2 linked regions of the Arabidopsis thaliana genome follow. The protein of the gene in region 1 purifies or fractionates together with the protein of each later gene. This does not show direct contact. Each region holds a gene or a part of one and is shown in the gene's direction. Other genes may lie near its edges.

What was found. Proteins that work in one complex are often made in the same cells at the same time.
Region 2: the proteins of TRN1 (region 1) and emb2734 fractionate together in Arabidopsis thaliana (co-fractionation; one large-scale study listed by BioGRID). This does not show direct contact.

Annotation. Positions count from the first base shown.
Region 1 is NC_003071.7:7,352,104-7,355,863, forward strand, and holds the start of TRN1 (transportin 1), read left to right. Parts: upstream 1-1,743; 5' UTR 1,744-1,835; coding exon 1,836-2,021; intron 2,022-2,803; coding exon 2,804-3,091; intron 3,092-3,263; coding exon 3,264-3,353; intron 3,354-3,481; coding exon 3,482-3,563; intron 3,564-3,638; coding exon 3,639-3,727; intron 3,728-3,760.
Region 2 is NC_003076.8:6,699,348-6,703,107, reverse strand, and holds the start of emb2734 (ARM repeat superfamily protein), read left to right. Parts: upstream 1-1,752; 5' UTR 1,753-1,860; coding exon 1,861-3,093; intron 3,094-3,248; coding exon 3,249-3,452; intron 3,453-3,528; coding exon 3,529-3,633; intron 3,634-3,746; coding exon 3,747-3,760.

The DNA of each region.
Region 1 (3,760 bases):
GCTTCGTTGGCTTATGCCTCTTTCCCAGCAACTCCATTTTCTCTTTGTGGACGACGAAATCCGAGGCCCGATATAAGGCGTCCTGAATTTCAAGGGTTTGGATAAGTTATAAACAAGCCAAATACTAATTTTGCAATCTAATTAATTTAAATAAATTATTAAAAATGAAAATACATTTTTCTTAAAGAATGATTGATCAAAATAAACATATGAATTTTATTTTATAAATTATGTTTACAAGCCAATGCTTTCATAAATCTAGATTCGTGATCCAAGCAATTCTATTTCTTAAAACATAAACTATACAATAAAAATTATTTTTTGATAAGACAACTCAAGTTTTCATATTGAGTACATTTATAGACGACTTTATGTTTTTTCTCCTATTTTTTTTTGTTGGACTTAACATCATATTAATTTTTTTCTATTTTTTTATTTCCTCCTATTAGAGTTTTGAAGGCTGTTCTATAAGTCTGTAGAGTGTCATCGAGTTTGGTGGACCAGTATATTCTTGAAGTTCCAACCATTCTATTCAAGATAGTTTTTATCTGTTTGTTGCTGACTTCACCTTGACCACTAGTCTAGAGATGGTAGGCTGTCGCAACCTTATGCTGCACTCCATACTTCTTTAGCAAGTTCTCAAACATCTTGTTCATGAAGTGAGATCCTCCATAACCACTCTTGGTATACCGAAGATGGGGAATATGATACTCTTGAATAGTTTCAAAACTACCTTAGAATCATTGGTTGGACTTGCAACTATTTCAATCCACTTGGAGACATAGGCTACGACGACCAAGATATACTTATTTCCCTAAGAAGATGGGTTAAAAGTTCCATGAAGTCAATCCCCCAGACATCAAACATCTCAAACTCGAGTATAGGATTCTTTGGCATCTCATTTTTTCTGGTGATATTTCTTATCCTTCGGCTATAAACTTATGAACATTCTTGAACATGGTTGGCCATTAGAGCCCAACTTGCAGTATCTTCTGAACAGTTTTGAAGGTTGCAAAATGTCCTTCATAAGCAGAGCCATGTCAATGTTCTAGGACTCCTTGGACTTTTTCTTCAACTATGCATCTTCTGAATAAACCATATACGCCTTTCTTGTATATAGAAGGCTCATCCCATAAATAATGGTTAATATCCCTAAATAATTTCTTTTTCTGATAAACATCAAGGCTTTAAACAAATCAAATACTAATTTATGCAATATAATTAATTTTTAAAAGTTATAAACAAAAATATATTATTAATTTTTTAAAAATGACCGATCCAAATGAACATATGAATTTTAGTATATAAATTGTGTTTACAAGCCAATGCTTTGATAATTCTAGATTCGTAATCCAAGAAATTCTATTTCTTAAAACATAAACTCTACAAAAAAACATATTTTTTTTATGGGACAACTCAGGTTTTCATATTAACTACATTTATAGACTAAATTTTATTTTTCTCCTATATTCTTTGGACAACATTAATTAATATTTTCTCTATTTTTTCAAGCTAATGGTTGACAAAAAAAAAGAATATTTAGGAGACAAATGAAATTTACAAAAACAAGAAGAAGTTACTATTTTGCAAACTCTCTCTTTTAATTAACAGCTTTAAAAGAAAATAGATAAACTCATAAAAAGCCCATAAGAGAAAACTTGAACAGAACAAAAAACCCAACAAAACCCAACTTAGTAGCGTCTCTCCATTCTCTTCTTCTTCGTCGTCGTCCCTGTCTTTTCCAAACTTTTTTGCTGTGCGTTTTTTTTTGTCCAAAGAATCATATTCTTTTGCCCTCTCACACGAGTCATATTTACCTTTTTGCCACAACAATCATGGCGGCGACGGCGGTGGTCTGGCAACCCCGAGACGATGGTCTCGCTGAGATCTGTTCTCTTCTCGAACAACAGATTTCTCCTTCCTCCGTCGTTGACAAGTCTCAGATTTGGAAGCAGCTTCAACACTTCTCTCAGTTTCCTGATTTCAACAACTATCTCGTCTTCATCCTCGTTCGCGCTGAGGTTTTGGAACTTTTCTCTACTCTCTCTTCGCTTCCTGAGATTTTTTTTCTTCTCCGTATTGACTCAATCTATTTGTCGAATGAGTTCGGATCGTTGAATTTTCGTTTGCTTATCGGATTCTCTTTGTTGCTTAGCTTTAGTTGAATCTACGTTTCCTTTGAATTGCTTAAGATTCTCAGACTTTAGAACATTGCTTCTCTCGTTATGAGTTTCTCTGTTCTGTACCTTAATGGATGGATATATCTCCTTTTGATCATATTTGTCTATGTCAATAGTTGATGTTTCTGTTGTATGAGCTTTTTGATTCAATTGACTTGAAGTTTACTTGTATCCAAATAACATAAATGTTGTGTAGAATTTGTGGATTGTGTCTTCTTCACTTGATAACTCATATTTATTTGCATTGGCAAGAACTAGCCTTGAGTTTTTATGTTGCTGTTGCTGTTTGATTAGGTTTTATGCATTTATATCTTAATTCACTCAACATTCGTCTATGTCTCCTTCTGAATAATTCTTCTTTGTCAATAGTATGACCTTTGTGATTCAATTGACTTGAAGTTTACTTGCATCCAAATAACAAAAAGTGTTGTGTGATTTTTAGTGGATAGTGTCTTTCTATCTTGAGAACTCATATTTATTTCAATTTAGTTGGATCTACATAGTCTATTTGCAGATCCTAGGCAAGAACAACCTGGAGTTTTTCATATTGCTGTTGTTTGATTAGGTTTTATGCATTTATGTCTGTTTGTTAAATTGCTGATGTGTGCTTGTACAATGATCAGGGAAAGTCTGTTGAGGTTCGTCAAGCTGCTGGATTGCTTTTGAAAAATAATTTGAGGGGTGCTTATCCATCCATGACTCAAGAAAACCAAAAATATATCAAGTCAGAGTTACTGCCTTGTCTGGGAGCAGCGGACAGGAATATACGGACTACAGTTGGAACTATCATCAGTGTTATTGTTAATATTGAGGGAGTTTCTGGATGGCATGAGCTTTTGCCAGCTCTTGTTACTTGTTTAGACAGTAATGACCTTAATCACATGGATGGTGCTATGGATGCATTGTCAAAGGTATGTAGCAGCTATGTGTTCTCTTTTCTGTTTCTTGCTCTTTTCGTTGAACCTTTGATTTATGAACCATAAGCTTGTGTAATCCAAAGTTGTGATTGTTGGTTTTGATGATATATTTGGAGTTTTTTTCAAAGTTTTTCTAATATCTACATGTCGTATTCTTATCAATCAGATTTGTGAGGATATTCCGCATGTCTTGGATACAGAAGTGCCTGGCTTAGCAGAACGCCCTATCAACATTTTCCTGCCTAGGCTATTACAGGTAAACATCTCTTATTCCTACACAGATTTTGGAACTCGGTTGTAGCACTTGTTTAGGTTCTAGTTTGATTTCTTTCGTCCTGTTGGATTGGTTGCGTTAAGATTGATTACCTCTCTTTTTTTGAGCAGTTTTTTCAGTCACCCCATGCTTCACTGAGGAAGCTTGCCCTGGGTTCTGTGAACCAGTATATCATTATAATGCCTGCTGTAAGTATTGCGAAGACTACTTGTAAGCTTCGTTTTTGTTTTATATGTTATTAAGGACCGTAAATGGTAACAATCTGAGTTTGGCAGGCTTTGTACAATTCATTGGATAAGTACCTTCAGGGGTTGTTTGTCCTAGCCAATGATCCTGTACCAGAAGTCAGAAAATTGGTATGCCTCTTATTTAAGCTTCTGTCAATTGTT
Region 2 (3,760 bases), on another chromosome or scaffold:
GGGTTTAGGTTTGTACCAACACTAATGCACCGGTTTCCAAAATTGGTGTTAACCAATTACGAGTACCATCTAAGAATCACTATGTCATTGCAGGAGTTTCGGCCTCTACCTACAATGATTCTTAATTTTAGATATGCTTTTGTTCCATTCCATTTCATAAACTCGCTTTTCATCCTTTAAAACGCTAAAAGATGGTGAAGGTGAAGACCATTTCTGATTACTTTCATACTTTGTTGACCTAGGTAGGTTGTAGTATGTAGTATGTTCCAAAGCTTGGGATGTTAGCCTTAGCCCATTAAAGTTTTACATGATTTGTTCAGAACGTCTTAGGTAGTTCAGTCTTTCTGTTTACTTTCATTCTTGTCCATCAAATATAGTGTTTTTTTTTCCAACACTCTCATGCCATAAAACTGATCATTAAATAAAAGCAAAGGTCAATCTCTATTTTCCAAATCCTCCACAAAATTCAAAGGAAAAATCTTGAAACACACTTTCATCTATGTCTTTTCCATTACTAAACAAGCATGTGGCCATTTAGTAATTGTACCCAAGGCCAACCCAATCTGACCTAATAGGATTATGCTTTTTTTTCTTTACTTAATATTAAATACAAAATAGTAATGTGTGAAAGTATATAATAAAGAGTTTTTTCAAAAAATATAAAATTCACATAGTTTTAAAAATTATATATCTATATATACATTTTTGCAGCCATTTTGTGAAATAAATCGTGTAGTTGGGACTTAGTTACAATGGTTGCCACTAGATTTTAATGTTTGTTTTTGATAATTAGAATAAAAACTTCGAATTAAATATTTGACATTTAACAATCTTTCTTAAATCACTCAACATTAACTACACCATTAGTTACTAAAATAAAACTTCCAAAATATTTAATATCATCAAACCATAGAGATATTTGATAGCATTTAATTACTACAAAATTACAAAATATTTAGACAATAATTCATAAACATATCATAAATAAGATCAATATTAATAAAATAAATGGTTTTTTTACGGGACGGGTTGGCGGGACGGGTTTGGCAGGACGTTACTTAATAACAATTATAATTATAAAATAAAAATATTTTATAGATATATACAATTTGCAAACTTTTATGTATACTAACTTTAAAAAATAAATTGTTTCTGCAGTATACCGCGGGTTAAAATCTAGTTTATATATATTCGCTAATTTTAAATCAATATTAACCAATACGTTATTCACTCGTTTCAAATACATTAATTCAATAACATTTTTGATATAAAAATTAGATATTAATAAATCATATATTCATATTAAATCCGCGTATTAAATATATTACGATAATTTATAACTATAGTATATTTTTTACTTTTACGTACTTATTTATAAATATATTAATATATACCCTAGGTATGTGAAATTATGAGATTCTGTCATTAGAAAAATATATAAGCTAATGCCACCTATTATTTACCTTTTTTAATAAAGAAAATAATATAAGATAATAATCAAAAATTTATATTCTTAAATAGTTATACCTAGGAAATAATAGAAACTTTAATTTATAAAAAAAAAAGGAAACACGTATTGGTGATCAATTTATCAATCCACCCTTGAAAATACAGCTAATGACATTATCATTGCTTTGCTTTAATTTTTATTTTTCCTTAATTTAATTTACACCACGGCGGCCCCACACCACCCCAAATTACGAATACATAATAGTTGGAAAATAAATGGAAATAAAAATAAAATATATAATTATCCCTTCACAACCTCATCCCTCCTTCGCTACCTTCGGACCTTCCTCATTCCTCCTCTTAGCTTTAGCCACTTTTTAACCCTAGTTTTTCCCGCCGCCACCATCCCCCATGGCTTCCGAGGCGAATCAGCTTCAGCAAGCGCAACTCGCGATGGTTCTCGGCTCCGATTCCGCGCCCTTCGAGACGCTAATCTCTCACCTCATGTCTTCTTCCAACGAGCAACGTTCCTCCGCCGAGTCTCTTTTCAATCTCGCTAAACAAAGCAATCCCGATACCCTCTCTTTGAAGCTTGCTCATCTTCTTCAGCTTTCTCCTCATCCCGAAGGTCGTGCTATGGCCGCCGTCCTTCTCCGGAAGTTGTTAACACGCGACGATGCTTATCTATGGCCTCGTCTCTCCCTCTCCACTCAATCTTCCCTCAAATCTTCGATGTTGTATTGTATTCAACATGAGGAGGCTAAATCGATCTCTAAGAAGATTTGCGATACAGTCTCTGAACTTGCATCCGGGATTTTACCGGAGAATGGATGGCCGGAGTTGCTTCCGTTTGTTTTCCAGTGTGTTACTTCTGTTACCCCTAAATTGCAGGAATCGGCGTTTTTAATCTTGGCTCAATTGTCGCAGTACGTTGGGGAGACTCTTACCCCTCACATCAAGGAACTCCATGGCGTGTTTCTTCAGTGCTTGAGTAGTAATTCTGCTAGCTCCGATGTTAAAATCGCCGCTCTCAACGCCGTGATTAGTTTCGTTCAGTGTCTGGCCAACTCAACGGAGAGAGATAGATTCCAAGATGTTTTGCCTGCGATGATCAGGACGTTGACCGAATCTCTGAACAATGGGAATGAAGCAACTGCACAGGAGGCACTTGAGCTTTTGATTGAATTGGCTGGTACCGAGCCACGGTTCCTTAGACGGCAACTTGTTGACATAGTTGGTTCGATGCTTCAGATTGCAGAGGCTGATTCCCTCGAGGAGAGTACACGTCATCTTGCGATTGAGTTTTTGGTTACTCTGGCTGAGGCGCGTGAGCGTGCCCCTGGTATGGTCAGGAAGCTTCCTCAGTTTATTGACAGGTTGTTTGCTGTTCTTATGAAGATGCTCGAGGATATTGAGGACGATCCTGCTTGGTACAGCGCTGAGACTGAGGATGAAGATGCTGGCGAGACAAGCAACTACAGCATGGGTCAAGAGTGTTTGGATCGGTTAGCAATTTCTCTGGGAGGAAACACCATTGTTCCGGTTGCATATCAGCAGTTTTCTGCTTACTTGGCTGCCTCTGAGTGGCAGAAACATCATGCTTCTTTGATTGCACTTGCTCAGATTGCTGAAGGTTGTTCAAAGGTATAATTTTTAGTGAATAACATGTCTTAATGAACTTTTTCCTTAATTGTTTCATTGTTTTTACTTTCAATTGGATGTTAAATAATGATTGATTCTGAGTTGATTTATCTTTGTGGTTTTCAATCTGATAGTGAATATCTTGAACTTTGATGTAGGTGATGATAAAAAATCTAGACCAAGTGGTGTCAATGGTTTTGAGCCAGTTTCAAAGTCCTCATCCTCGCGTAAGGTGGGCTGCTATAAATGCGATTGGACAGTTGTCTACAGATTTGGGTCCAGATTTGCAAAACCAACATCATGAGAGAGTGCTCCCCGCACTTGCTGCTGCTATGGATGATTTCCAGAATCCACGAGTGCAGGTAAGATCCCCTGTTTCTCTGTGAATATAATCTTCTAACACTTTCTAAAGCAGTACCTTGTGACCTTTTCATGTAGGCTCATGCTGCTTCAGCAGTACTCAACTTCAGTGAAAATTGTACTCCTGAAATATTGTCACCTTATTTAGACGGAGTAGTGAGCAAGTTACTTGTGCTACTACAAGTAAGTCCATTGTGTAAATTATTTCTTAAGATAAATAGCTAAAAAAGAGCAAATATTTTGCACTCTATTGATTTTAAATGATTAACTTTGGATTATAATGGTGTTTCGTACAGAATGGTAAACAAAT